Anolis sagrei: one gene and its partners. The protein of the gene in region 3 purifies or fractionates together with the protein of the main gene of each other region. This does not show direct contact. Links are inferred from orthologs where the notes say so. Each region holds a gene or a part of one and is shown on either strand. Other genes may lie near its edges. The genes, in order: ANKRD44, PPP6R3, PPP6C and PPP6R2.

What was found.
Region 1: the proteins of PPP6C (region 3) and ANKRD44 purify together in Homo sapiens (affinity purification with mass spectrometry; 5 studies listed by BioGRID and IntAct, counting the BioPlex papers as one, with this or other methods). This does not show direct contact. The link is inferred for Anolis sagrei from reciprocal best matches to the Homo sapiens genes PPP6C and ANKRD44.
Region 2: the proteins of PPP6C (region 3) and PPP6R3 purify together in Homo sapiens (affinity purification with mass spectrometry; 10 studies listed by BioGRID and IntAct, with this or other methods). This does not show direct contact. The link is inferred for Anolis sagrei from reciprocal best matches to the Homo sapiens genes PPP6C and PPP6R3.
Region 4: the proteins of PPP6C (region 3) and PPP6R2 purify together in Homo sapiens (affinity purification with mass spectrometry; 9 studies listed by BioGRID and IntAct, counting the BioPlex papers as one, with this or other methods). This does not show direct contact. The link is inferred for Anolis sagrei from reciprocal best matches to the Homo sapiens genes PPP6C and PPP6R2.

The regions. Positions count from the first base shown.
Region 1 is NC_090021.1:178,796,740-178,804,576, forward strand, and holds the start of ANKRD44 (serine/threonine-protein phosphatase 6 regulatory ankyrin repeat subunit B), read left to right. Parts: upstream 1-4,777; 5' UTR 4,778-4,942; coding exon 4,943-4,969; intron 4,970-7,837. UniProt on the Homo sapiens protein: Putative regulatory subunit of protein phosphatase 6 (PP6) that may be involved in the recognition of phosphoprotein substrates.
Region 2 is NC_090021.1:239,335,137-239,343,144, forward strand, and holds the start of PPP6R3 (serine/threonine-protein phosphatase 6 regulatory subunit 3), read right to left. Parts: upstream 3,109-8,008; 5' UTR 2,967-3,108; intron 1-2,966.
Region 3 is NC_090031.1:6,410,398-6,418,072, forward strand, and holds the start of PPP6C (serine/threonine-protein phosphatase 6 catalytic subunit), read right to left. Parts: upstream 3,161-7,675; 5' UTR 2,821-3,160; coding exon 2,746-2,820; intron 2,163-2,745; coding exon 2,067-2,162; intron 354-2,066; coding exon 288-353; intron 19-287; coding exon 1-18. Other genes in the region: RABEPK (rab9 effector protein with kelch motifs), read left to right, coding at 3,510-3,772, 4,188-4,336, 4,567-4,719, 6,183-6,344, 6,658-6,807.
Region 4 is NC_090025.1:200,514,309-200,522,133, reverse strand, and holds the start of PPP6R2 (serine/threonine-protein phosphatase 6 regulatory subunit 2), read right to left. Parts: upstream 3,015-7,825; 5' UTR 2,997-3,014; coding exon of another isoform or gene 2,820-2,996; exon of another isoform or gene 2,644-2,819; intron 1-2,643. Other genes in the region: protein DENND6B, read left to right, coding at 2,820-2,996, 3,110-3,148, 5,673-5,715, 5,863-5,981, 6,076-6,156, 6,325-6,430, 7,197-7,276, 7,415-7,477. UniProt on the Homo sapiens protein: Regulatory subunit of protein phosphatase 6 (PP6). May function as a scaffolding PP6 subunit. Involved in the PP6-mediated dephosphorylation of NFKBIE opposing its degradation in response to TNF-alpha.

The DNA of each region.
Region 1 (7,837 bases), on a different chromosome or scaffold from region 3:
AATCCTTGTAGTTGTGGTTTTACATTGTCTTTAGCCTCCTCTGCCAACGTCTGCTGGGGCTTTACTAAATTAGAAATCCAAAGATTCCGTAGCATTGAGCCATGTCAGTTAAAATGGATTCAAACTGCATTAATTATATGGTGAAGATGTACCCCGAGCGAGTGAGTGAGACAGTCATATTCGGTACTATTCCTGTTTTGTTTTTGTTTTTAATTCTTTTATCTATATTTTTTACATTGTGGAAACAATCTGATTCAATTCTGCCATTTTGTTTCTTTACTTTTGGCAATAAATTTAAAACATTCATTCAATGTATCTACGGCCTTTCATGACCGCAAATTGCTGACATGATTCTTACTGTATTAATAGAATCACAAAGGCAGCAAATGAATGTTGATGCTAATCCTTTTGCACAGCTTGGCTCCCACCAGATGTGCCAGATTAGTAATCCCAACATCCTCAGCCAGCACATCTGATAGGAATTGTAATATATCTAGAATAGATCTGATTGTGGAAGGTTGTTTAGTGCCTGCACAACAAGACATTGATGATAACGTTAGCCACCACATTTCTTTAAGTGTCTTGATTACTTAAATATCTATATAAATAAAAATGTAATGTTCATTTGTTGGATTAACATAACTCATAAACCACTGGATGAATTGACACCAAATTTGGACACAAGACACCTAACAACCCATTGTATATCCTTCATTCATTTTTTTTTATTTTCTCATTTGGGAGTTGTAGTTGCTGGGATTTGTAGTGCACCTACAATGAAAGAGCATTCTGAACTCCACCAATAATGGAATTGAACCAAACGTGGCACACAGGACTCCCATGACCAACAGAAAACACTAGAAAGGTTTGGTGGGCATTGACTTTGAGTTTGGGAGTTGTAGTTTACCTGCATCCAGAGAGCATTGTGAACTCAAACAATGATGGATCTGGACCAAACTTGGCACAAATATTCCATATGCCCAAATATGAACACAGATGGAGTTTTGGGGAAATAGACCTTGACATTTGGGAGTTGTAGTCACTGGGATTCACAGTTCACCTACAATCAAAGAGTATTCTGAACCCCACGAACGACAGAATCAGGGCAAACTTCCCACACAGAACCCCCAGGACCAACAGAAAATACTTAAGGCCATCCAGTCCAACTCCCTTCACCAGGGCAAGAAAATGTAATCAAAACCCTCCTAACAAAGAGTCATCCAGCCATAGATATAGATAGATATGATTCACACACACACAGAGATATAGTATCATTGATTTGAAAGGGACTCCTAAAGAAAGACAATTATATGTTCTTGTTTCATGGAAGCTTTGCTTGGAAAATTCATGTTTTAAGTGCCTTTGTTTCATGGCTTTGATTCTTGGATTCTATGCTTTTATATTCATACCTTGGATTCATATTTCCTGATTTCTTGCATTTTATTTGGGAAGTTTTGACTTTGTTTTTATGGACTTTGCTGGACTATTACCCTGGACTACTTCGCTCCTGCTTTTCTTCCTACCTAATTGGATTTACCTATTTATTTAAAGTGTGTTTTTTTTTTTACTTTACTGCTTTTAATTATCTTCAATAAAAGGATTGTTTCCCTATCCAATGGTGTGGTATTTAAAGTCAGAGGGCAACAGACGGTAGCATTTGCAGGCCAATAGGAGAGTGTTCCCGACCTCCAGTGTAGACTTCCCTCTGTCCAATGGCTGAAGTGGGGCAGGAGAGTCCAGGAGATGAAGTATATAAAATGTCTGTTTTTATATTTATTGTACCAGTTTAAAATCCTTCCCAGTATAATTGCCATGTAGATGTGATTTTATTGATTATTTTTCCAATCGGAGCAGACCCATTTAATCAGTTGTTGCCTAGAGAATCAACACACAGACAAATCTCATTTAATAATGCTCAGTTAGGACTAACCAATCGCCTCTAGGCAACAATCCACCAAACTAATATAATTCCGATGTCATAAATCATGCTTTAGTATCTAGATGTATATGTGCGCACTGCAATAACTCTAGGCATTTATATATGTATATTGGGGCATGTTAATTCAGTGCATACTTTTGTCTAGACTTTCTACCAGCTTCTGGCCCTGGAATCTCTGGCATTCAGGTCTCTAGTTCAAATCTCAGCTGCTCCTTTCTGTTGCAGACAAAGATTTGGATGGAGATCTGGCAGGATTTAAAGACTAAGATACAACATGCCCCTTCTATCGGAAGGACCGTGTTTTGTCCAAACAGGCACATCATTAACAATAATTACGGATAGCAATGATGATTTAGCAATCTTTTCCCACGGCTATTAGTTTGAACAACACAAGCACAGTCTGCAAGCTTAGCATCTAAATGTCCAATTAATTTACATGTGTCCCAGTCCTGAATAAATGAAGTCCCCAAGTTACGAACAAGATAGGATATATGTGTTGTCGAAGGCTTTCATGGCTGGAATCACTGGGTTGCTGTGAGTTTTCCGGACTGTACGGCCATGTTCCAGAAGCATTCTCTTCTGATGTTTCGCCCACATCTATGGCAGGCATCCTCAGAGGTTGGAAACTACGCAAGTGAAATTTATATACCTGTGGGAGAAAGATCTCTGTTTGACGCAAGTGTGAATGTTGCAATTGGCCACCTTGATTAGCATTGAATGGCCTTGCAGCTTCAAAGCCTGGCTGCCTCCTGCCTGAGAGAATTTATTTATTTATTTAAAACTTTTGTATCCCGATCTTCTCTACCTCCATAGAGGGACTCAAACCGGCTAACAGCAAGGAATCAATGCTAACAATACAATCTAAAACATCGTACATCAACAATAAATTAAAATACATATAGACTAAAATACATAAAAGCCATTGCGTTTATCATGTCCCACTCAGCCGCATATGTGGTCGATAACTTGAGTAAATTGCCAGTCTCCGCCATCATTCTGGGAATGCCTCGTTCCATAGCCAGGATTTCACTAGCTTCATGAAGGTCAGTAGGGAGGAGGCAGATCTGATCTCAATTGGGAGAGAGTTCCATAGCCAGGGGGCCACCACAGAAAAGGCCCTGTCTCTTGTTCCCACCAGACGCGATTGCGAGGGTGAATCCTTTGTTGAGAGAATCCTTTGTTGGGAGGTGTTAGCTGGCCCTGATTGTTTATTGTCCGGAATTTCCCTGTTTTTGAGTGTCGTTCTTTATTTACTGTCCTGATTTTATGATTTTTTAATACTGGCAGCAAGATTTTATTCATTTTCATGGTTTCCTCCTTTCTGTTGAAATAGTCCACATGCTCATGGATTTGTATGTACGTTGAAACAGTGTAACTCCAACCACATACATATGCATATGCATAGTGCTTTGGATAGCATAGGGAAGGGGTAAACACCCCTGTGAAGTTTGTGCATCACTACATCTATATGGCATGTATGTATATGTAGATTCATCACTACATCTATATAGTATGTATGTATATATATAGATGCATCACTACATCTATATAGTATGTATGTATATGTAGATGCATCACTACATCTAGTATGTATGTATATTTAGATACATCACTATATCTATATGGCATGTATATATATGTAGATGCATCACTACATCTATATAGTATATATGTATATATAAATGCATCGCTACATCTATATAGTATGTATATATATATAGAGATGCATCACTACATCTAGTATGTATGTATATTTAGATAAATCACTATATCTATATGGCGTGTGTATATATGTAGATGCATCACTACATCTATATAGTGTATATGTATATATAAATGCATCACTACATCTATAGAGTATGCATGTATATATATGTAGATGCATCACTACATCTATATAGTATATATGTATATATATAGATGCATCAATACATCTAGTATGTATGTATATTTAGATACATCACTATATCTATATGGCATGTATGTATATGTAGATTCATCACTACATCTATATAGTATGTATGTATATATAAATGCATCACTACATCTATATAGTATATATGTATATATATAGATGCATCACTACATCTAGTATGTATGTATATTTAGATACATCGCTATATCTATATGGCATGTATATATATGTAGATGCATCACTACATCTATATAGTATATATGTATATATAAATGCATCACTACATCTATATAGTATATATGTATATATATAGATGCATCAATACATCTAGTATGTATGTATATTTAGATACATCACTATATCTATATGGCATCTATATAGTATGTATGTATATATAAACGCATCACTACATCTATATAGTATATATGTATATATAGATGCATCACTACATCTATATGTCATGTATGTATATGTAGATTCATCACTACATCTATATAGTATATATATATATATATGCATCACTACAGCTATATAGTATGTATGTGTGTGGGTGCATCTATATATCTCACACTAGAGAATGAATCCACTGCCTCCTGCAGAACACTGGGGTTTGTAGTTTAGGGAGAAGCCTTGAACAGCCTCCCTAAACTACAAACCCCATAATTCTGTAGGAGAAAGAAACCGGATTTTAAGTGGAATCATTCTCTAGTAGTGTGATGGAAATCTATATATCTGGACGCTAGGGAGAGAAAGCCGGGTGAGACACAAAGGAAAGGCTTTCCCGGGCCGGTCCTGCAGGGGGCAGCAGAGCGCTTTCCCGGCCAGGCGGGTGGGCGGTGCGAAGGCGCTTTTGCGGCCGGGCTCGGCAGGGGGCGCTGTGGCGCAATCCGAGCGCGGCTGCCTGCGCTGCGCATGGCTATATGGTGCGTGTGTGTGTGTGTGTCTACAGGGGGTGATGTCAGTGCCCCGAAGCCAGAGCGGGCTTGGCCAGGGACCAGCGGCAGCAGCAGCAGCAGCAGCCACGGGCTCGCTCTCTCCTTGATCCAGGAGGAGGACCGCCAGTCCATGCCTTTGAGCCAGGAGAGGGAATGGCAGTCCTCAAGCTCACCGACCAGGTAAGACAGAGAGAGACACATACAGACAGACAGACAGAGAGAGAGAGAGACAGAGAGGAGGAGGCTCAGCTGCAAAGGCTGAATGGCCAGAGCTGCTGAAGAAGCATTAGCAGCAGCATGTTGTTGTTGTTGTTGCTGCTGCTGCTGGATTGTAATTGTTGTTCTGGAGAGGAAGTGGGTGCTTGGCTTCCCATCTCCAGGGCTTGATCCTTGCAAAGGCATCCTTTCAGGGTTGGCTCCTTTGCAGGGGATCCCTCTGCTCATTGCCTTTCTGTGGCTTCTTTCTTTCTTTCTTCCTCTCTTTCTTCCTTGAGAAGGCATTTTTGGAGATTCACATCCTTCCCATTTCCTTCCCATTTCCCCCAGTAGCTTTAATAGCTTTGGATCCAGGCAGGAGGGGAGAGGAGAAGGCCAGCCATCTGTATTATTATTATTTATTATAGCATACTATAATATATTATATTACTATGTATAATATTATATCATTGTATTATGTGATGCTGTATTATTGTTTTATATTAGACTATATTGTAGGGTTGTTTTCTATTATATTATTGCTTTATTCTTGTTTTATATTATACTATATTATTCTTGTTTTATATTAGACTATATTATGTTATTATTATTACTGTTTATAATATTATATATTATATACTATTATATATTATATATTATATACTATTTTATATTATATATTATATATTATATATATTATTATATTATTATATACTATTTTATATTATATATTATATATTATATACTATTTATAATATTATATTATAATATTATATCATTGTATTATGTTATGCTATATTATTGTTTTATATTAGACTATATTGTATGGTTGTTTCTTATTATATTATTGCTTTCTTCTTGTCTTATATTATACTATTTTGTACATATTTTCGTTTTTTGAATATTATGAATATAATTGTTTTATTGTTTTACAATTTATTGATTTATTTATGACATTTATATGCCGCCCTTCTCACCCCGAAGGAGAGCTTACAAGTAAAAAGTAAATACAATATATTATATTATTATCATAGCATAATAATAATATTATATATTACATTGCACAGTATAACATTATACTGTAATATTATTAGTAATATTACATTTAATTCAAATGTAATACAAATGTAATATAAAGCCGGGAGGACTGAAGACCGGCAGGTCACAGTTTCGAATCCGGGGAGAGGCGGATGAGCTCCCTCTATCAGCTCCAGCTCCTCATGCGGGGCCATGAGAGAAGCCTCCCACAAGGATGATAAAAACATCAATCATCTGGGCGTCCCCTGGGCAACGTCCTTGCAGACGGCCAATTCTCTCACACCAGAAGTGACTTGCAGTTTCTCAAGTCACTCCTGACACGACAAAAAAAAATTAATACAAAATAATTATATTATTTATTATTATTATTATTAGTATATTGTATTATATTATAATATTATCAATATTATAACATTGCTATATTATTCATATTGTCAAGTAATGGCGAATTGACAGTTATTTTATTACTTTTTATACACATTATTGTTTTATATTATATCCTCGTTTTATGAATATTACAATCATTATTTTATTGTTTTATAATAAAGATTATAACATTGTTATATTCATATTGTTGTCAAATAATGGCTAATTGACCGTTATTTTATTACTTTATTATTTTGTGCACATTATTTTGTCAGTACTATTGTTTTATATTATATTCTTGTTTTATGAATATTACAATCATTATTATATTGTTTTATAATAAATATTATAACATTGTTATATTAGTCATATTATTGTGGAATAATGGCTCAATGACAGTTATTTTATTATTTGTACACATTATTTTATCAGTACTATTGCTTTATATTATATTATAACCTTGTTTTATAAATATGACGATTGTTATTTTATTATTTTATAATATTATATTCTATTATTCATATTGTTGTTGGATAATTGTTTAATTTAAAGTGATTTCTTAGTATTTTTATTATTTTATACATATTACTTTATCAATATCCCATATTTAATATTTATTTTATTATTTTGTACATATTATTTTATCACTTTGCCATTTATTATCATCATCATCAGGCCACCCTGTTCCTCCGCTGTACAAACCCAGTTTCTCTCATTGCCCTGTGAGATCAAGAGTTGTAAAAAATTACTAATATTGTTGAATAATTATTTAATTTCAATTGGTTTCTTATCTTTTATTATTTTATACATATTACTTTATCAATATGACATTTATTTATTTATTTTAAAAATTATTGTATGCACATTATTGTATTACTTTCCATTTATTATTATTATTATTATTATTATTAATCATTATCATGATCATTAGGCCTTCCTGTTCCTCTGTCGTGCAAATCCGGTTTCTCTCATTGTCTGGGGAGATCAAGCAGTTGTCAAAATCCTGGAGAAGGCTTTCATAGCATTAATGCAATAATAAACACCTCTCTCCCTGTGTGTATGTAATGTATATGTATGTATGTATACACTGTGTGTGTGTTTGTGTGTGTGTGTATATATCTATATCTATATCTATCTATATATATATTCATGCCTTGGGATGGTTATTGGACCAGTAGGGATTATTGTGGTAGGTTGGTTTGTATCTTGATCACCTTGAACTTGAGATCCCTCCACATTTTTTATTCTGCCGCCTCCTCCATCTGCATCCTGGGGGTGGGGAGGGAAGCGAGGGAGAGGAGAAAAAAAATATCTCTGTAACCATGATAGGATTAATTAAAACATCCTCTGTGATCTCTGGCATGGCTGGGGGTGTATCCTGCAGTCTTTACCCATCAATGCTTTGAAACCCTGGGATTTGTAGTTTGGTGGAGCACAGACATCCTTTGG
Region 2 (8,008 bases), on a different chromosome or scaffold from region 3:
CCCTTGTGTACCCCCACCAAGTCATTAGTAAAAATAATATCAAACTGAGACAATGAAACAGCAGTGGTGAGGTTGTTACAATAAAAGAGAAAAATTTTGAATGGTCTTAATCTTCTCAGTCTGAACATAGTTTAAGATACATTATTTCAAGTTTGTTTAGTTAGCAACTTGCATTTTTTTTAAAGAACTGGTGTTCATTTTAATATCAACTAAACATTTTCCCTACACTGTATCCAGGAAGCAAGAAGAGTGTACTGGTTAGAACAGAATCAGAGTAATAGGATCATAGAGATGAAAGAGACCTCATGGGCCATCCAGTCCAACCCCCTGCCAAGAAGCAGGAAAATCGCATTCAAAGCACCCCTGACAGATGGCCATCCGGCCTCTGCTTAAAAGCCTCCAAAGAAGGAGCCTCGGGGACAGAGAGTTCCACTGAACAGCTCTCACAATCAGGAAGTTCTTCCTAATGTTCAGGTGGAATCTCCTGAAACAGTTGTATTTTTGTGGGATTAGAAGTCCTGCCAAAACTTTTTGCCTAGAGCTGGTTGCTTATAGTTTGGCCTTTTGGGTTATCACAATGATAAAGCAGTTCAACACACTAGATTAATTCTCATTACTCATTCAACTCAAAACCCTGCTTGAGGGATTTCTTTAGCTCAAAAACCAAGTGCAGGATTATACTTCACTCAAGTAAATAAAGGGTAACTTTACAACTATTCTACATTAGTCAGACCTCACCTGTGTCCAGTTCTGGGCATCACTGCTAAAGAAAGATATTGACAACCTGGAATGTGTCCAGAGAAGAGCAACCAAAATGATCAAAGATTTGGAAGCCAAGCCCTGTGAGGAATGGCTGAAGGAGCTGAGTATGTCTAGCTTAGAGAAAATAAGGCTAAAAGGGACATGAGAGACATGTTTAAATATATGAAGGAATGTCACATTGAGGAGAGAACAGGCTTGTTTTCTGCTCCTCGGGGATACATTGAGCAATAGATTTAAACTGCAGGGGAGGGGATTAGGAAAAACTTCCAGGTGGTAAGAGCTGTTTAGCAGTGGAATCTGCTGCCTTGGAGTCTTCTTTTGAGGAGTTTAAGCAGGGCCTGATGGACATCTGTTGGAAACGCTTTAATTGTGTATTTCTTAATGGCAGAATGGAGTAGGACTGGATAGCTTGGGTGGTCTCTTCCAACTCTATGATTCTATCTCCACACAGGTAAAGAAGTGACTTCATAGCCTAAAGTTTGTTTAAAAAAAAAAACCTGAAAAATGAGACGTACTGCAGGTTTTTTTTTATAAAAGTGGTTCCAGCAGGGAACATGAATAGACAATAATATTGCAAAAAGGTTGGTGTGGACAAGGAAAAGGGCCTTCTCAGTGGTGCCCCCCCCCCCCAACTCTGGAATGCCCTCCCCAGGGAGATTAGACAGGCATCTACACTCACGGCATTTAGGAGGGACTTGATGGCCTGGTTATTTAAACAGGCTTTTGGCAGTGATTAGTCAATCTTTAGGATATGGATTTATGATAACATGCCTCTTTTAGCTCATAGGAATGATTGTGTTTTAAATCTAATGTTCATAATTTTATTGTTAACTTTTGTTACTTGATTTTCTAGTTGTGTCCAACTCTGGGGGGTGGTGCTCATCTCCATTTCTAAGATAAAGAGCTGGCGGTGTGGAGCGCCATTACCTTACCACAGAAGGGGTGCGTATTGATGTACTCACATTTGCATGTTTTCAAACTACTAGGCTGGCAGAAGCTGGGCCTGACAGCGGGAACTCACTTCGCTCCCCAGATTCGAACCACCAACCTTTCGGTCAGCAAGTTCAGCAGCTCAGGGCTTTAACCCACTGTGCCATCGGGTATGTGTTATTGTTTATTCCACTGTATGTATTTTACTAGCCGTCCCCTGCCACACGTTGCTGTGGCCGTTTGTGTATATGTGTTTTGTGTATATATATGTGTGTGTATATGTGGTTTTGTGCATGCATTGTAATGAGGAGTTGTTGTTGTTTTTTTGTTTTGTTTTTAAGTCCCTTCTGCTGTGCTTTCCAGTGTTTTATGAGTGATGGTCACTCGTTGGCCTGATAGGTGTATTGTGTCCAAATTTGGTGTCAATTTGCCCAGTGGTGTTTGAGTTATGTTAATCCAAAAAACGAACATTATATTTTTATTTATATAGATTGTATTGTATTGCATTTGTTGTATTATTTATGATGTAAGCCGCCCCGAGTCCCCTGGGGAGAGGGGGCAGATATAAACTATTATTATTATTATTACTACTACTAATAATAATAATAACAATAATAATAATATTATAAATGGATCTCTTCGTGCAAGAACGGAGAAGAGTTCCCAAGCCAACAAGGCCGACCGTGAGGCAGAAAGGTGTGAATGGGTGAGGGGACACACGTGCCCCCGCCGCTCCCACCTCGGTGAAAGCACTGAGGCTGGATGACCATCTCTCGGGGTTGCTTTGATTGTGTTCCTGCATGGCATAATGGGTCTGGGCTGGATGTCTCTTCCAACTGTTTGATCCCGTAAGGGCTGCTGACCCAAGCCCCCGGGGGTCGAGGAGAGGAGTTTCCTCGCCCAAGAGCCCCTTCCTCTCTCTCTTACGGCAAGAGGGTGCATGCAGGAGAAGGCCATGGCGGGGCGGAACAGGGGGAGAGAGGGGGAAAGGCACCCCGAGGGGCCTGCGAGGAGGAGGAACAGGAGAAGAAGCAAGCCACCAGGCCGCTGAATGGCAGAGAGAAAGGCGGGACGGAAGGAGCCCTGTGGCCGCTCGCCACGGAGCCAATGAAAGAAGCAAGGCCAGGCCTCGGCTCAAACCCTTCCTGCCCTCCCCTTAGAGAAGCGGCGGCGGCGGGCCCCCCTTCTTCCCTCCTTCCTTTCTCCCCGGGCGGCACAAGGATGGACGGAGGAGCCGTCCTGAGAGGAAGCGGACCCCCGCCCGAAGCCCCTACCTCAGCCAGTGCGTCTCCCCCTGGCGGAACCCCCGCTCAGGCGGGAAAACGGCCGCTCGCCGCCATTACCGACTCTTCAAGATGGCGGACATGGCTCTCCAGAGCCTCCTCTCTCCCCGGTTCTGCCTCCCTCCCTCCCCCCATTCCTGCCAATCATTCCTCCGCGGCGCACACCTTTCCTCATCAATCGCCTCTCCTATTGGACAACGGGGAAAGCCTCTGTTTGCTATTGGCTTACCTATGCTGTCGATCACAAGGCAAGGCGTTTGCCATTGGTCAATAAAAGGATAAGGGCCGGGGTCACGGCTTCATTTAACCCAATCAGCGTGTTCAAATGGGCCCCTCTCAGTTCTCATATTCACGCCTTAGCAACAATGTTACGACACCTTGAAGGACATTCAAACCACCCAACCAAAATCTTCATTGCCGTTTAAAAATAAACCCACAGTGGCCAATCACTTACCGTAGGGCTCTGACCAATGAGAATTAAAGGAGGCGGAACTGAAGACGTTCTTCATACGTGTTTTCCTATTGGACATAATAAAAAAACCACTCCCCCAAAGAGAAACTAAAATCCGAAACTGCCTGGCAACAGCGCATCTTTAATAGCAGTGGGTGTGGCTAAAAGAACGTTGTTCTGGAGGGCGTTTAGATATCTCCCATTGGAAAGCAGCCGCCGGGAGGGGAATTAGCTCAAATGGTAGAGCGCTCGCTTAGCATGCGAGAGGTAGCGGGATCGATGCCCGCATTCTCCAGTTTTGCATTGGGTTCTTCAGGAATCTAAATTCTGTTTTGTAGTTATGGTATCTCATAATAGACCGAAGCTAAAAATGCTTCATTCCGAATGAATGACAGTGTTATTCTTCACAATATTCTGGAGCTCTTGGGCTTTAAACTCTCAAAAATACCTCCCAAAACAGAACTTGGTGAAGCTCACTCTGGCAACTCTATAGCCAGCATCATCCAGGTCACAATATTCCCAATTTCAAAGGGAACCATTTTATTTAAAATGTGCTGGAAGAGTATGGTTTGCCAAAGTGATAAATGGGTCCTTGAGAAAATCCATCTTGAAGATCAATCCTGGGGGCTCAAGGCGGCTAACAAACCCACACATAATTTTAGAAGTTCAATACAAATACAACATTTTAATAATAATCATAATAATCACGATATGAGGATTTAAAGATTGAACTGCAAAGACTCAGGCACAAGCCAGTCAAGGTGGTCCCAGTAGTGATTGGCACACTGGGTGCAGTGCCTAAAGACCTTGGCCTGCACTTAAACACAATTGGCGCTGACAAAATTACCATCTGCCAGCTGCAAAAGGCCACTTTACTGCACGCGTTATTCGCCGATACATCACACAATCCTAGACACTTGGGAAGTGTCCAACGTGTGAGCCAATACAACAGCCAGCAGACTGATCTTGTTTTGTTTTTGTTTTTGTTTTTTTGTTTTTTTGTAAAATAAAAAAGTTCAAGTCAGGGATGGTGGTGTTGTCCAAACCAGAACCCTGAAACGTATCCCAAAATCCACAGCACCATATGTGCTCAGCAATGGAGTTCGCGATAACCTTTCCCCAAGTTTCAGGCAACTTTTGAATGTACCAATGTAAGACATCCAACTGGCTACTTTTCTGCCTCCACGAAATGTTCAGTAGAATAAATGGTTAATTGCATCTTTTGTGCCTCTGCAAGAATGCTCATTGTTTACCCCTATTTCAGCCCTTTTTAGTTAGAGGGAATTAGCATTTTGTATACAGTTTTGTGAGAGGTCAGTCTAGATAGCCTCTTTGCATTCGAAGCCTCCGTCACCCTGCCCCTTTAAGAATCCCCTCAGGGGCAGAGTATCAGGCAAGGCACTTCTAGCTCTTGGAGGAGTCAGGCCTTTTGGTGACTGGAAGGTGAAGACAGAGGAAGTCCAGAAAGTCTACAAAATAGCATGCTCAGTCAGAGCTGTATTGATGTCAGTCAAAGTTGTATTTAAGTCCAGCCAGAGTTAAATATTGAGACCATCTTAGAGACAGTGAACACCATACAAGAAAGACACAATAAGAAGAAATAACGATTCCAGAGACTCACTTTGGCCAGAACTCTGTCTATCTCTCAAATACTTTGCCTCTCCTCATAAAGGCTTTGTAGTGAGACTCAGAAGGAGAGAAGCCCTAAAATTCTTGTCAGTTAATAAATTCTTGTTTGATTTAGCTAAATAGTCTCTGATTTGTTCCCTGCACAGCCAGTTCACCTTCCAAGTAGTTAAGTCAAAACAACACCGCTCTAACTTCTAAAGTTCTATATCGTTTTGACTATCACTCTGCAAGACAGTTCCTTTTGCTTTACTTAGACCATCAGTTCTCAAACTGTGCTCCATGAAGCCCTTAAGCTCCACAAAGCACAGTCAGGGGCTCTGTGCTTCCCTCCTCTTCCTCCCCCCCCCCCTTCCCCTCCAAGCACATGGCAGTGGGAAAGAAGGGACTGGTTAGCTGGTTGTTCCCCCACTTCCGAAGCACTGGAAGCACCAGCTGCTGAAGCCCGACCACCAAAAGCAGTGCAGCGAAGAAGGGCAAGACCAGGGCCAGGAGGGTGGGGGCAGTGGCACCAGTGGGACTCTATATCGTTTTGACTATCACTCTGCAAGACAGTTCCTTTTGCTTTAGAGCAGCGTAGCGGTGGCAGCAGTGGGAGTCCTGTAGAGCACAGACCAAGGGTCTTCCACTGAAATACCATTAAGATTGTGTTGGTTAAAATTGTTAATATTTTAATTTTAAATGTTGTATTGTTTTTGTGGTGTGTTTGTGTTGGTTAAAATTGTAAAAAAATAAATATTGTATTGTTCTTTCTTTCTTTCTTTCTTTCTTTTTTCCACCTCAAACGAGAAGTGTGCATAGAAATTAGTTGATTAAAAAAAAATCATTCACACAAACACTCTCCATCCATTTGCCACTGGTCCAGCCCGTCTGTCAAATTTTAAAATGCAGTGCAGCCCTTATGTCAAAAGTTTGCCCATGCCTGATACACACACACATACACACACACATTTCTTGGGGCTCAATGATAAACCTTTCCTTCAAAAAGTGATCCATGGTTGAAAAAGTTGGAGAACCTCTGACTTAGACTAATAAATGGGTTTCTGTATGAAAGGCTTTCTATCAGATAGAATTTTCGTTTTCCATGTGATTGAGCAATGCACTGTCACTCAGATTCCCCACCACCCACTGATACTCAGATCACACCTCTGTCATGAAGGCTGCCTCGGGAGGTTTTCTTCTGATATGCAGTCCTGCTCCAGACATCATCTCGTGTGACTTGAATCTTTGCTTGCATGCTTCCTGCAATCTTAAATCTTTGTTGCTGTGCAAATTCTTCCGGCTTTATTCATCATCTCCTAATTTCTCTTCTTGCTGACTTGTTTATATTCTGTTCATGGCCTCCCAACCATATATACTGTCCAGCCAGAAACCTCTAGCCAATCAGTTAATAATCATCTTCAATTAGTGGATACAAGCCCACCTTTCATAAATTGAGAAGACATAGGACTAACAAACTGCAGTCAGTCCCCAAGTTATGAACAAGATAGGTTCTGTGGGTTTGTTCTTAAGTTGAATTTGTTTGTAAATCAGAACAGGTACATTTTTAAGTGTAATACCAGTCAAATTAATATCATTGGATGACATAGGGCACTCCTGTGGGGTTTGTTTTGCTGTCTGAGCCCCTGTTTAGAAGATTTCACCTCACCTTCTGTCCCTGTGATTATTGGATTTTGAAAAAAAAATGGCTTGTTGTGGAAACAAAGATTGGTGATAAAGCTTCAGTGGAGACACCTTTCCCCCATGGTAAGTCTTTCAGGAGTGAATTTCCCTTCTGAGGAGTAGATTTTTCTCACTCCCTGTTGTCTCACCCTCCATTTGTAACATTGAGTCTTTTCTTAGTTGGATGTTTGTAACTCAGGGACTGCCTGTACTATGTTTTCAGTCCATCCAATCAAAATTTGCTATCCACTTATTCAGTCTATTTGTACATAGTCAGACCTTCCATATGCACAGATTTTGCGGCCATTCATGGTTTGAAAATATTGACACCCCCCCCCCCCAAAAAAACCAAACATTGATTTTGACATTTTATATAAGGAGTACCAATTTTTGTACACAAATATATATACAGAAACTGGACTCAAACATCCACAGATGTTGGTGTCCACAATATGGAAATCAAACTCCAGTGGATACCAAGGACCCCCTGTATAAGACAGAAACCCCTCTTTTGTATTTGCCAGCTATTTGTTTACCATAAGCTATAAAGTGGTGGGCTGAACTGCTCTTTGGCAATCTGCCATTTGACATTGACACCATGCTTCTCTGTAATCCAGTAATACAGTTTGTCTATACTTCACAATTAACTCTTCATCTCTTTGTTCTTGCTTCAGCAAAACCCCCCACAAATCTTTAACTTTTACCTCTGGTGACACTGCATTGGGGTAGTAAAGAGTGTCTTAGTACTTAGCATAGTGAACTATTTCCGAGAACTATTAATTTCAAAAAGTAGAAAAGTTGTGAATAGGTATATATTATTCATCTATATTCTGTTTAACGTTATCTGTGCCGAACACTATAAAATATTGGATTTATTAAAAAACAGTTGCCAAATAATCAATTGAGCTATTTGCTGATAGAAATCAGAATGAGATTTCCCTTAAAGGGAGCAAATTGACTGCAGCTATGTTATTTGGCTTTCCTTATGCATGGATGCAGCACAGCAATTCAAATTCCACAAGGGTAAAATAGGTGACCTACATATTGGCTTTGGACATCTGGTGTCTAATGTGTCCCTCCTCCTATCTTTTAACTCTTTCCTGTCCTCTGCATTCAAACACATAGAAGCTTCCACCTATTTCTATGGTGGCCTGCTAATTCACTTGAGAAAAATATTGAAGTTTGTGCCACCAGACTCTTTATTTTTGTTGTCTTCCAGTTTATGCTTAAGGCATAGCTTGAAGGTAAATGTACCTGTAAGCAAATCTTTTTTGGCAATGACTAATCCATAACT
Region 3 (7,675 bases):
CCTGTCTACAAAATCTCCCTGCAATTAAAACAACAGTTTAGTGCACACCGTCCAGTAACTATAACATAGAAAGCGAAATGTAAATTTAAAAAATGATTATTGACAAGGATCTAATTGTTTATTTCCTTCCCCACTAGCCCTCATTAGGCTACAAACAAACAAACAACATCATAAAGAGGCGAGACACGCTGAGTAGCAAAACAAAAGAAACAGCTACCTTGAAGATTAAGTTGCAATGTTATGACATTAGTAAATGTATACATTTTCAGATTTCTATTTATACACACCATAAATATGTAGTTTGTGTCGGGAACTTGGCCTCCAGTTCTGAACAATTCACATAAATCATAAAACTGAAAGGCAAAAAAAGAAGACAATGTTAAAGATTATATCAAAGCAGAGGGTGCTGGTTGGTATTTATGAATTTTAATAGTGTTTATTGCTGTATTGTTTTGAATTATTAATTGTTATTACTCCTATATTTAATTATATTGTAATGTTTATTAATGGGGCCAAAGTGGCACAATGGGTTAAACCCTTGTGCTGCTAAATTGTTGACCTAAAGGTTGGCAGTTCGAATTCATGGAATGGGGTGAGCTCTTGCTGTTAGCCCTAGCTCCTGTCAACTTAGCACTTCAAAAACATACAAAGGTAAATAGATAAATAAGTACTGCTACAGCAGGAAAAGACAGCAGTCTTGCAGGCCACATGACCAGGAGGTGACAACACAGGCTCCTCGGCTTGCAAATAGAGAACACCTCCCCCAGAGGCAGAACAGAGCACTACACCTCCAGAAACCGGAAATGAGAAAGGACAATCCTTTGCCATGTCTGTGTTTGTGTCTCTTATTGTATGGGACTGTAAGGCATTGAACGTTGGCCAATGTCTGCTGTAAATGCTGTTATCTGCTCTTGAGTCCCCTCGGGGAGATGGGTGGAATATAAATAAAGTGCATCATCATCATTTTTAATAATGTAATGCAATATAATACTACTAATAATATTATTATAATAATTATATATTTTCTATTACATGTAATATTATTTATTATTTATTTATTTATTTATTTATTTGCTTTATTTCTATACCGCATTTTTCAGCCCAAACAGGCGACTCAATGGTACAATTACATGGTACAATTATCAAACAGTGTCAGTGCAATTAAAACATAACAATGCAAAAAGGAGGATCAACAGCATCAATCCACAACAATTAACAATCAAACAAGACAAATCAACAAAACAAACATAACATAACGCCTCAGTTGAATCAGATCCGTTCTCATAATCATTCTGCCATTCCTATGTTCCATTTACCGTCTTCCTTTGATTGGTTGCACTGCTTAACCAAACGCTTGTTCATAAAGCCAGGTCTTAACCATTCTCCGAAACGTCAGCAACGAAGGTGCCTGTCTGATGTTTGCCGGTAAGGCATTCCATAGCCGAGGGGCCACCACTGAGAAGGCCCTGTCTCTCGTCCCCGCCAAGCGAGCCTGTGACGTAGGCGGGATCGAGAGCAGGGCCTCCCCAGACGATCTTAATGTTCTATTATTAATAATATTACAATATAATGGTATAGTACAATATAGTAATAAATAATACTGATATTGTACTATGCTAATAACATAATATATTGTATGTATATATATCTTGTAAGCTGCTCTGAGTCCCCTTCGGGGTTAGAAGGACGGCATATAAATGTCATTAATAATAATAATAATAATAATAATAATAATAATAATATACATTAGTACACAATAAACAAGATCACCATGCTGGCTTTTGTACTGGAACACATGTCAGACACTTCTCAAGCGTCTAAGACTGTGTGATGTATGAACAAATAATGAGTGCATATCTGAGTAGGGCAGCCGTTTGCAGCTGACAGATGGTAATTTTGCCAGCGCTGATTGTTTTTAAATGCAGGTCAAGGTCTTTAGGCACTGCACCCAGTGTACCGATCACGTTAAGCTATAGCAACTATTGCTTAGAAAGCCAAAACCACTATATGGAAGAGGAAAATACCATCAAATTCTCCACAGTATGTAAATGCGTGAGAAATCTCACCTGTCCATGGATGTCGCCACAGACTGTAACTGGGGTAGAAACCGGCTGCACATTTGATTCTTCTAAGAGCAGGTCACACACGTAGTCACATAAGCGCTAGAACGAGGACATCGTTTTAATACAAGAGCTCTCCATATTGTGAACAACATAATTGCAAATAAAAACACAGGAACATTTCTGGCTAGTAATGGCTGAAATGACCACATTGTGCCAACAGAAGTAAAACCATACCATCTCCAAGCCCAGTTCGAAGTGCTTCTTGTAACCTTTAAAGCTTGAAACACCTCAACTGAAAGATCATTTCTTGCTCCCTCTTCCTTGTAACATCCTTTCACATATTTGTACATGGCCCTCGTGTCCAAAACCCTCGTGTCTCCTCTCAACCCCTCAATAGAATAGATCAAAGGATGGATAGAATAGAACAGATCAATGGAATGAATTTAGTGTTTATATACAATACACACAGTGCATGACTTCTCTATATCTCCATCTAAACCTGGCCTGGGTCAACTTAAGCCTTCCCTCCAGGTGTTTTGGACTTCAATTCCCACAATTCCTAACAGCCTACCGGCTGTTAGGAATTGTGGGAGTTGGAGTCCAAAACACCTGGAGGGAAGGCCCAACTTGGCCCAGGCCTAGTGTAATAGGCTTCGGGCCCTCTTCCTCCTCCAGGCCTCACCTTGAGGTCGTTCTCGGGCAGGTATTTGCAGAGCCGTGCGATCTCCACATACTTATCCAAGTCCAGCGGCGCCATTTTGGAAAGCGGAAGGAAGAAGGGGCATAGGAGAGTCAAGGGACAGGAAGCGAGAGCGGCCACTTCCGGATTGTGTCAGAGGACATCCGCTCCTGAGCGTCCCGGCCTCTGCGCAGGCGCAGAAGGCGCCCTCTCCTCCTCTGTCGGCTCTACGCATGCGCCGAAGAAGCCCTCTTTCCTCTCAAAGGCCCTTTCCTTCTCCCGCTTTGTGCCCAGACTCTGCGCAGGCGCAGAAGACTCCCTCTCCGCCTCCGAAGGGCCTCCCCTTCGCCGCTTCTGCGCAGGCGCAGAAGACACCCTCTCCGTTTGCGAAGGGGCTTCCCTTTGTATTCCGGCCCTTTACGCATGCGCAGAGGAAGCCCTCTTTCCTCTCAGAGGGTTTGTGCCCAGCTTCTGCGCAGGCGCGGAAGACACCTCCGTTTTCCGATGGCGCTTCCCTTTGTATTTCCTCCCTGTACGCATGCGCAGAGGAAGCCCTCTTTCCACTCAGAGGGTTTGTGCCCAGCTTCTGCGCAGGCTCAGCAGACACCCTCTCCACCTCCGAAGGGCCTCCCCTTCGCAGGCGCAGAAGACACCCTTCCGCTTCCCTTTGTCGCTCTATATTTCCGCCCTTTGCGCATGCGCAGAAAACCCTCTTTCTTCTCAATGGTCCTTTTCGTTCGCGCTTCTTTTCGTTCGCGTCTCTACGCATGCGCGGAAACATTCCTTCCGTCTCCGAAGGCCTTTTCGGTCTCTCTGTGTTCGGCTTCCGCGCATGCGCAGAGGCGTTTGGATTGGTTCTTGGCGAAAAAGGTGGCAGGTCGACTGCAGCAGCCTGGAGGCGGGGCTTAAAATCTCCTAGCAACGACGAAGAAGGCGTGGCGACAGCACCAAACCCCGCCCCCTTTGCATCAATGTCGCCAGCGGCGCTGGAAGAGCTGAAGCCTGGGAGCAAACCGGAAGTAGCCAGCTGGTGCGCTGTAAACACGGGTCTGCGGTGCACGTGTGAATGCAGATGGGGGAATGAATGCGTGTTTTAATGAAATATGTTTTAATGTTTTAATGAAATATGTTTGTCTCACCAAAGTCCTAGAATATAGGGCCAGGGTGGTTCAAGTGGTATGAAACTGGGTTAACTCAGCAGTGTAGATAAGGAATGGGTCAACTTCGGCTCTCCCTCCAGGTGTTTTGGACTTCAATACCCACAATTCGCTGTTAGGAATTGTGGGAATTGAAGTCCAGAACACCTGGAGGGAGGGCCGAAGTTGACCCATTCCAGATATAGATATTCCGAGCTGTGGGTGAAATGTCAGGAGAGAATGCTTCTGGAACATGGCCTGCAAAACTCACAGCAACCCATTAAATTATTATTATTATTCTATTTGTAGGTACTCCCTGGTTCCCTTTGGGGAGGGCCCTTGCCCCCGCGTCGGCCATGTCTCGTTTCACCTCCCGAACAACAAGAAAGGCACCGTCCTCATCGTCGGAGGGGCCGACCCGAACGGCAGCTTCTCCGACTCCTATACCCTTGACCTCGGTGAGGGATCAAACCGCATTAACTCCCCGGTGTAGACGTTTTTTGTTTATGTATTTGGTTTCATTCTGCTGTAATATGTTGTCCGGGCTTGGCCCCATGTAAGCTGTTTCGAGTCCCCACTGGGGAGATGGTGGCGGGGTACAAATAAAGATTATTATTATTATTATTATTATTATTATTATTATTACTTGGACCAAGTGGTGCTTTCTCACCTGTTTGTCTCCCAACAGATGCGCACAAGTGGAGCGCCCCAAAGTGGTCAGGCCTTTTGCCCCGATACGAACAGGCTGCCTTCATTCCCGAAAGCCAGCCCACAAAGCTCTGGGTCTTCGGAGGAGCCAGCGAAGGTGGCAACCGGAATTGCCTGCAGGTCTTGGACCTTCGTAAGTATTTCTTGTTTTCTACGAAGGTTGAATGAAAAGTAATGTCTCCACCTTCGTAACTTCTCAATAGATGGCAGTACTGGTATGTGGCAGGTACTGGCTTGTCCAGTAGACTCTCCTCTACAGTTCCATTTTGGCGGGAAGCCTTAGCATTGAACTGTTGTGTTGTTAAAGTGCAAAGTATGGAACCCTGCGCAGATGGTCAGTCAATACGACTTAAGCAATGTGCAGTCATTGAATTCTTGACAGCAGAAGATGTCACCTCAACACCAGGGGCTCCATTTCTAATAAATAATAATAATAATTTATTTCTTACCTCCCTCTCCTTTAAACTTACTCACCCAACAACGCACAGTACTCACATCAACACAACCACCACAAGCAGCTTGCATTCTCTGATGAATCTCTTTTGGGGTGACACCTTCTGCTGTCAAGGATTCAATGACTGTGGCTGGCATGACTGCATGAAACACCATTACCTTCCCGCCGCATATTTTCAAACTGCTAGGTCAGCAGGAACTAGGGCTAACAGTGGGAGCTTCCCCAGCTCCCCCAATTCAAACCACCTACCTTTTGGTCAGCAGCTCAGCAGTTTAATCTGCTGTGACACCAGGGGCTCCATTTCTAATAAATAATAATAATTTATTTCTTACCTCCCTCTCCTCAAGGTGGGGCACAACATTGTTGAATGCATCTGTAAAAGCAGTATTTAAAAAAAGCTTGTCTTCTGTGCTATGCTAATAATGTAATATATTGTATATACATATAATATTTATATTATATACAATATAATATAATATTTATATTATGATCTAATTCAATATAATACTAATAATATATTATAATTAAATATTGTATATTACATGTAATATTACTAATAATATTATAATATAAAGATATAGTAAAATATAGTAATAAATAATACTGATATTGTACTAGGCTAATAATATAATATATTGTATGTATATATATCATGTAAGCCACTCTGAGTCCCCTTCGGGGTGAGAAGAGCGGTATTTAAATATCATAAATACATAAATAAATAAAAACTGCTTTGGATCATAACTAAGATCCCCATGGGCCTTTTAAGCATATACCTATGATATTGATATATCCTGAGGCAGTGTGGGATATTTGGGGACCCCTCCACCAGCACCAAGTGCCGCTCTAGGCCAGAGTGAAGAGAGTACAATATCAGTATTATATATTACTATATTGTACTATATCATTATATTTTAATATTATTAGTAATATTACATGTAATATAAACTATATAATTAAAATATATTATTAGTATTATTTTATATTACATTATAATATTATAAATATTATATGTATATACAATATTATATTATATTATATTATATTATATTATATTATATTATATTATAATGTGGAAGGACGGCTGTAGTTCCTTCCAAAATCCACTGACCAAACAATGGTTTGTCTGCTTTCCTCCTTAGAGACTGGCACATGGGAGAAGCCGGAGGTAAGCGGGACTCCTCCATCCATTCGGACCTTTCACACGTCCACAGCGGCCATCGGGGACCGTTTGTATGTCTTTGGAGGCGGCGACAAAGGAGCGGACCCTGTTCAAGACCAGCAGCTTCACATATTTGACTCAGGTTAGCTCTTGAGTTTTGGTTCTTGGGAAGTAAAAGAGGTCCCTAGAGTTGGAAGAGATCTATGAGCTTTTAAGTAGAGACTTGTTTATTTTGTCAAAACACATCCTGTGATTTTCGACTGCTTCAAAGTACAGACTGAATGGCATCTGTCGGGAGGGATCGGATTGTGCCTTCCTGCCTGGCAGAAGGGGGTTGTTGGACTTGCATGCCCTTTGGTGTCCCCTCCAACTCGAAGCTTCAATTGACAACAATCTGATTGGATTTTGGGAGGACTTTTCTCCCATCTCACCCCAGTGTTTCTCATCCCACGTAGCCACGTTGACATGGCTCCAACCGGAGGTTTCGGGCCAGGCTCCCACGCCTCGGCATGGCCATGCAATGGTGGCCGTCGGGAGCCGACTCTTCATCCACGGCGGCTTGGCCAGCGACACGTTTTACGGCGACCTCTTCTCCATTGATATAAGTAAGCGCAAATGGGTTTGGATTTTTCGACCCTTTTTCATTCCAGCTCTGAAATCTTATGGACTACGGGTGCATTTACACTGTCAACTCAAGCATTATAGTAATTTGGAAGGACGAAGGGTGCATTTATTCTGCAGAATCCATTATTATTATTATTATTATTATTATTATTATTATTATTAGTAGCAGTAGTAGTAGTAGTGACCAGGGTGCATTTACACTTCAGAATCTATTATTAGTAGTAGTGCTACTAGTAGTAGTAGTACTATGGACCAGGGTTGTATTTACCCTATAATTTAATCTATTATTATTATTAGTAGTAGTAGTAGTAGTAGTAGTTACTAGGGGTGCATTTATTCTGCAGAATCTATTGTTATTAATGTTATTGTTAGTAGCAGTAGTAGTAGTAGTAAGGACCAGGGATGCATTAACCCTGCAGAATCTATTATTAGTAGCAGTGCTACTAGTAGTAGTACTATGGACCAGGGGTGTATTTACCCTACAGAATCTATTATTATTATTATTATTATTATTATTATTATTTATTAAGTATTATTAGCAGCAGCAGTAGTAGTAGTAAGGACTAGGGGTGCATTTACTGTGCAAAATCTATTATTAGTAGTAATGCTACTAGTAGTAGTACTATGGATCAAGGGTCTATTTACCCTACAGAATCTATTATTATTATTATTAGTAGTAGTGGTAGTAAGGACTAGGGGTGCATTTATTCTGCAGAATCTATTGTTATTGTTAGTAGTAGTAGTAGTAGTATTACGGACCAGGGATGCATTAACCCTGCAGAATCTATTATTAGTAATAGTGCTACTACTAACAGTAGTACTATGGACCAGGGGTATTTACCCTACAGA
Region 4 (7,825 bases), on a different chromosome or scaffold from region 3:
CTTGGCAGCCACCTCTCCACCAAAGTCAACATCGTCACCGAAATACAACACCGCCTGAGCTCTGCGAGTGCAGCATTTTTCCAAATGAAGCAGAGAGTGTTTGAGGACCGGGACATCCATAGGGAGACCAAGGTGCTTGTCTATAAAGCTATTCCCCTCCCAACCCTGCTCTACGCCTGCGAGACATGGGCAGTCTACAGACGTCACATGCCTCTGAAAAATCCTGCAAATCTCTTGGGAAGACAAGCAGACAAATATCAGCGTGCTGGAAGAAGCATTGAAGTGATGCTCCTCCGCCATCCACTCCGCTGGACTGGTCACGTTGTCCGGATGCCCGACCACCGTCTCCCAAAGCAGTTGCTCTACTCCGAACTCAAGAACGGACAACGGAATGTTGGTGGACAGGAAAAGAGATTTAAGGATGGGCTCAAAGCCAGCCTTAAAAACTCTGGCATAGACACTGAGAACTGGGAAGCCCTGGCCCTTGAGCGCTCCTGCTGGAGGTCAGCTGTGACCAGCAGTGCTGCAGAATTTGAGGAGGCATGAATGGAGGGCGAAAGGGAGAAGCGTGCCAAGAGGAAGGCACGTCAAGCCAACCCCGACCAAGACCACCTTCCACCTGGAAACCGATGCCCTCACTGCGGAAGGGAGAAGATGCAGATCAAGAATAGGGCTCCACAGCCACCTACGGGCCCAGCCCCAGGTTACCACTCTTGGAGGAACATCATCCTCGGACTATGAGGGATCACCTAAGTAAGTAAGGACAACTAGTTAAACGTGAGCCAACAGTGTGATGTGGTGGCAAAAAAAGCCAATGGGATTTTGGCCTGCATCAACAGGAGCCTAGTGTCTAGTTCCAGGGAAGTCGTGCTCCCCACGCTCTATGCTGCCTTGGTCAGACCACACCTGGAATCACACTGTGTCCAATTCTGGGCACCACAATTCAAGAGAGATATTGACAAGCTGGAATGTGTCCAGACAAAGAAGGTGACTCAAATGATCAAGGGTCTGGAGAACAAGCCCTATGAGCAGCGGCTTAAGGAGCTGGGCATGTTTAGCCTGAAGGAGAGAAGAATCATAGAATCCTAGAGTTGGAAGAGACCTCCTGGGCCATCATCCAGTCCAACTCCATTCTGCCAAGAAGAAGGAATGTTGCATTCAAAGCACCCCTGACAGATGGCCATCCAGCCTCTGTTTCAAAGCTTCCAAAGAAGGAGCCTCCACCACACTCCCCCCGGGGCAGAGAGTTCCACTGCTGAACATTCCTCACAGTCAGGAAGTTCTTCCTCATGTTCAGGTGGAATCTCCTCTCTTGTAGTTTGAAGCCATTGTTCCACTGCGTCCTAGTCTCCGGGGAAGCAGAAAGGAAGCTTGCTCCCTCCTCCTCCCTGTGGCTTCCTCTCACATATTCATACACGGCTCTCATCATATCTCCTCTCAGCCTTCTCTTCTTCAGGCTAAACATGCCCAGACTAAGAGTAGCCATGATCAGGATCATGTATAAATATGTGAGGGGAAGTCCTAGGGAGAGGGAACAAGCTTCCTTTCTGCTTCCTTGGAGGCTAGGACGCAATGGAGCCATGGTTTCAAAGTACAATAGCCATGGCTTCAAACTACAAGAGAGGAGATTCCATCTGAACGTGAGGAAGAACTTCCTGACTGTGAGAGCTGTTCAGCAGTGGAACTCTCTGTCCCGGTGGGAGAGTGGTGGAGGCTCCTTCTTTGTAGGCTTTTAAGCAGAGGCTGGGTGGCCATCTGTCAGGGGTGATTTGAATGCGATTGTCCTGCTTCTTGGTAGAAAGGGGTTGGACTGAATGGCCCAGGAGGTCTCTTCCAACTGTTTGATTCTAGGATTCTATGCATGTTTAGTCTGCAGAAGAGAAGGCTGAAAGGAAACATGAGGAAGGCCATGGATCAATATGTGAGGGGATGTTCTAGGGAGGAGAGGGCAAGCTTCCTTTCTGCTGCTCTGGAGGCTAGGACGCAATGGAGCCATGGGTTCAAGCTTATGAGATCCCACCTGAAGATGAGGAAGAACTTCCTAACTGTAAGAAGTGCTGTTCAGCAGTGGAACTCTTTGCCCCGGAGGGAGTGTGGTGGAGGCTCCTTCTATGGGGGCTTTGAAACAGAGGCTGGATGGCCATCTGTCAGGGGTGCTTTGAACGTGATTGTCCTGCTCCTTGGCAGAATGGGGTTGGACTGGATGATGGCCCACCAGGTCTCTTCCAGCTTGAGGATTCTATGAGCCGTGGCTCCTCTCCACTTTCCTCTCCCCTGAGGGCGAAAGAGGCCCGTCTCTCCAGGGTGCTCCTCCTTCGAGGGAGCCTCCTTCCTTCCTTCCTTCGGGGTCTCCAGGGCTGTGGCCCTCTGAGGGGGAGCCTCCCCTTCCTCCCCTGGACCCCTTCCACCTCAGACTCCCTCGCGCTCTCTACTTGTTTTGCCCAGATTGAGAGCCAGGGCGATTCCGGGCAAAGAGGCGCCAGGACTCTTCCTTTCTCTCTTCCTCCCTTGGGGCCAGGCCGGGCCTCCTTTCTCCCTGGGGCGCCCCTTGCAGGCACCAAGGAAGGAAGGAAGGAAGGCCTCCCTCCCTCCCTCCCGGATGGGCCTGATCGGCCTGGAGGAAAGGAACGAGGCGGAACTCACCCGGGGCCCGCGCCACCGTCGTCGTCCTCCTCCTCCTCCTCTTTCTTGCTCGGCTTCCCTTCTTGGCGGCTCCGGCTCCAAAATGGACGCCTCAAGGAGCGCAGCCGGAACCGGAAGCGGCGAGCCCCGGAAGCGGAAGGGGCGGAGCTTGAGGCGCTTCCCCGCCCGGGCCGGCGATGGAGGAGCCTCCGAGCGGCGGCGCCCTCCCCTCCCGGAGCCCCTCTCTTCCGCCGCCGCCGCCTCAGGAGGAGGAGACCCCCTCCCCGCCCGCGCAGCCCTGGGCCCGGCTCTCGGCCTGGCTGGAGTGCGCCTGCGCAGTCACCTTCGACCTGGAGCTCGGGCAGGCCATCGAGGTGGGAGGAGCGCGGGTGACGTCACGGCGCCCCCTGGCCCCGCCCCCTCGTCTGGCCCCGCCCCCTCCTCGCCGCTCTAACGCCCCTCCCTCCCTTCCCTTCTTCCCTTGCAGCTGGTCTACCCGCCGGAGCCGGCGCTCAGCGAGAAGGAGGTAAGCCCCGCCCACAGGGAGCCAGGCCACGCCCCCGGGGAGGGAGGCCACGCCCCATCAGGAACAGCCATAGGATTTAAAGGGGAAACACCAGGCCTGGGCCCACTGGGGACCTCCCTCTGGGGGTTTTGGACTACAACTCCCACAGTTCCTCACAGCCGGTGGGAGTTGTAGTCCAAAACCCCCAGAGGGAGGACCCCAGTGGGCCCAGGCCAGGGATAGATGCGGCTGGTGTTTGTAAACTCTCACAAACATTAAAAAGCTTCCCTTGGTTAGTTCACAATCGAATCCTGGGAGAGCGGGTTGAGCTCCCCCTGTCAGCTCCAGCTCCCCATGCAAAGGGGACCTGAGAGAAGCCTCCCTCCCACAAGGGTGGGAAAACATCTGGGCAGCGTCCCCGGGGCAATGTCCTTCCAGGCGACCAATTCTCTCACACCAGAAGCGACTTGCAGTTTCTAAAGCCACTCCCAACACACACACACACAAAATACACAACCATTTCTTCAACCTTTTGGAGAATAATAATAATAACAACTTGATTTTTATACCCCGCCAGCCATCTCCCCAAGGGGACTCGGGGCAGCTTACAAGGGACAACAATTACAGATAAAACACAATCAAATTAAAAACATCAGATAAAATATAAAGACAATCACAATTGTAAACAACAACAAAATAATATGGCTGAGAAAGAACACAGCCGCAGTCCAGGCTCCATGAATGTAGTTCAGCCTGGGGAGGGAGTTCCAGAGCCATGGGGGGGGGGCACCACTTGCACTTTGGCCCGGTTGCTTCCCTGCAAATCTGCCCTTTTCCCCATACTCCCAAAACACATTCTCTCCCTTCCTCTGAGAAAGGAGCAAGTGGCCAGGCTCTGCGTTGCATGGCAGACCGGCCTCCCTGCCAGACACACAACTCCTTCCCATGGAGAAGAGCTTGGTGGAGGCCAGACCAGGAATATTTTAGGAATATTACAAGGTCTCTTACGGAGCAGTATTTCTGCTGATTCTGTTCCAAGACGTTGAATAATAAATAAATAAATAAATAAACTTTATCTATAACCCGCCACCATCTCCCTAAAGGGGACTCGGGGCGGCTAACATGAGACCAAGCCCAAAAATAATATAGCAAAATAAAATACAACACAATAGAAAGATTACATCACAACAAAATACATAAAATAGCAAAGTAAAATAAACAGTGCAAAATGATATAATTAAACTGAGTTGTTATAGGTATTTCGGGCTATATGGCCATGGTCTAGAGCAGTGGTTCTCAACCTGGGGTCTCCAGGTGTTTTTGGCCTACAACTCCCAGGAACCCCAGTCAGTTTACCAGCTGTTAGGATTTCTGGGAGTTGAAGGCCAAAACATCTGGGGACCCACAGGTTGAGAACCACTGGTCTAGAGGTATTCACTCCTGACGTTTCGCCTGCATCTGTGGCAAGCATCCTCAGAGGTAGTGAGGTCTGTTGGAACTAGGAAAAGGGGTTTATATATCTGTGGAAAGCCTTCAACAATACATTGATATAATAAAAGTCAATCACAAAGGGCGGGCCAAATGCACAAGATAAAATATTAAAGCCTTGGATGAGGTCGGGATAGAAGAATTGTATTTGTGCGGGAGGAGCCAAGGAGGAGGAGCAGTGACGGGGTTTGGCCTTCATTAGGAAGGCCAAACACAGTCAAATAGGAAGCCACAGGGAGGAGGAGGGAGCAAGCTTGTTTTCTGCTTCCCTGGAGACTAGGACGCAAGGGAACAAGGGCTTCAAACTACAAGAGAGGAGATTCCACCTGAACATGAGGAAGAACTTCCTGACTGTAAGGAGAGCCGTTCAGCAGTGGAACTCTCTGCCCCGGAGCGTGGTGGAGGCTCCATCTTTGGAAGCTTTGAAACAGAGGCAGGATGGCCATCTGTCAGGGGTGCTTTGAATGCAAGATTCCTGCTTCTTGACAGAATGGGGTTGGACTGGATGAGGGCCCACCAGGTCTCTTCCAACTCTAGGATTCTAGGATTCATTAAGGACGGGGGAAAGTGCCTCATGAGGACAACTGTAGATGGGAACAAACACAAAATGGGTGAAAGGGTCACTCTCCGAAGACAGTTGAAGAAGGTGACTCCCATCGGTTCCTGGGCAGATGCTGACTTTCCTTAACTGACCCTTGGTTTCCCTTCTCAAGGAGCCTTGCTGGCTTCCTTCTTAACGTAAGGAACCTTGTAAACATTCCCTTAACTTCAGGAGCCATTGCCTCTGATGACGTAAACACGACATTTTTCATCCAAAGTTTAGCAGTTAATCATTTCTCTGTGGTCGTCAGCAGTTGAGCAACTTTTAATTACGGTTCAGCAGTGTAGTTGTGTTCCAGGCCTTCGTATTTCAGAATTGTGTTTTCAGCACAGTGGGGGCCCCTTCATCCCCCTCCCACACAATTCCCTTCAAGCCCTGCATCCTCTTTCTCTCCCCCCCCCCCCCCACGCTGTGGCCACCCCCAGCCTCACCTCACTTCCTCTGATCTTTCTGCAGAAGACCAGCATCTGCTACCTGGCCTTCCCGGATTCCTATTCAGGTGAGTGGAGAAGGGGGCACGGAAGGGGGCCAAAGGGAGCCTCGGGGGGGGGGGGGGGGAGAGGCAGCCAGAAGGGGTCCTCTCTGCCTCTGCCCCCCCCCTCACCTGCCACTCCCTTCCATCTCCCTTCCTTCCTTCCTTTGCCAGGGAGCCTGGGGGACACGCAGTACTGCTTCCGCTTCCGCCAGTCCGGGTCCCGCCTCCGGGAGCGCCCCTGGGCCCAGAGCGCCACCGCCTGCCGCAAGGAGGCCCCCGCCGCCCTGCAGGTCAGGAACACAGGGGCCCCGCCTGGGGATTGGGCCCAAAATGGGGGCCACAAAGCCTCAAGGGCCTCCTTCTTCCTCCCCTTCTCCCTCCCAGCAGGAGACGGCCCACTACTTTGGCTACGTCTACTTCCGGCAGGTCAGGGACTCCTCCGTCAAGAGGGGGTACTTCCAGAAGGTGAGTGGCCACCGTGTCCCCCCAACCCCCCCCCCCCCATGCGTGCACATCCACGGGCCCAGCAGGACCCCTACAAGGGGGATTGTATCTCCGAGAGCGACACAGACACTTCTCTCTTCACGTGTGTGCGTGTTTCTCCCCCCCCCCCCCTCTGCCTCCGTGTCGCAGTCCTTGGTGCTGGTCTCCCGCCTACCCTACGTGAACCTCTTCCAGTCTCTGCTGCAGCTCATTGCCCCCGAGTACTTTGACAAGCTGGAGCCCTGCCTGGAGGCCGGTGAGGAGGAGGAGGGGCACTTTGCAGGGGGCACTTTGGGGGGGGGGGAGCCTCCTGGGCCATGTCTGTGGGGCAGAGGCTGCCGATTTGCTGGCTTTGTCCAGCCTGAAGGGTCCGTGGTGGGGAGGGGGCACACGCCACCTTTCCTGGCCTGGGTGAGAGGGGGGGGCCACGGGCTGTGAGGCAGCCTGGCTTGTGTTGCCAGCAGAGCCTGAGCAGAAGGGGGGGGGGGGGTCCCCAGTCCCTGGCTAGAGGTGGTGGGCTCAAGTGGCCCAGCACTTTGCAAGGGGGCACTTTGGGGGGGGGGAGCCTCCTGGGCCATGTCTGTGGGGCAGAGGCTGCTGATTTGCTGGCTTTGTCCAGCCTGAAGGGTCCGTGGTGGGGAGGGGGCACACGCCACCTTTCCTGGCTTGGGTGAGAGGGGGGGCCCACGGGCTGTGAGGCAGCCTGGCTTGTGTTGCCAGCAGAGCCTGAGCAGAAGGGGGGGGGATCCCCAGTCCCTGGCTAGAGATGGTGGGCTCAAGTGGCTTTGTCCAGCCTGAAGGGTCTGTGGTGGGGAGGGGGCACACGCCCTCCTGAAAGGCCTTTCCTGGCCTGGGTGTGAGGGAGGGTCACGGGCACCTCCCCAGGCTGTGAGACAGCCTGGCTTGTGTTGCCAGCAGAGCCAGAGCAGAAGGGGGGGTCCCCCAGTCCCTGGCTGGAGGTGGTGGGCCCAAGTGGCCTGGCTGAGGGGTGTCTGCTCCCCTTCTCTGCCTCCCTCCCCCAGTGTGCAGTGAGATTGACCAGTGGCCCCCGCCGGTGCCCGGCCAGACGCTGAACCTGCCTGTGATGGGCGTCGTCATTCAGGTACCGCGACAGACCTTCTCTCACACAAAACTGGGGGGGGGGGGCCTCTGGGACCCACCTCTCCTGGTGAAGCCCCCCCCCCTCCAAAGCGCAGCCTGGAAAGGGAGCGGACTTCGCAGGACGGCCTTTGCTCCACAGGTGCGGATCCCCTCCAAGGTGGAGAGGCCCGATGCCAGCCCCGTGCTGCCCCTGAAGCAAGAGGTGAGAGCCGCCTGGGGTCTGGGGCGAGGGTCATCCCCTGTGCCTCCCCCAGCCTCAAATGCCTGACCACCCCTCTCCTCCTCCTCTCCCTGAGGGGGTGCCAGGCCACTCCCCCTCTGACCCGCCCTTTGGCCTCTGTGGCGTCTTGGCTGCGAAGGGCTGGCCTGGCCTCTGGGCATCCCAAGATCCCTGCCTGGGTGGCATTCCCCGCCACTGGCCACAAGAGCTCATTGCTGGTCAGATGCCCCCTCCCTCCCCCCCCTCGGTCGACCCCTTGCCCCTTGGACCACCAGGATGCCTGCCTGCTTCTTCCCAAAGAGAAGTGGCGTAACGCAGGGTACGGGCTCC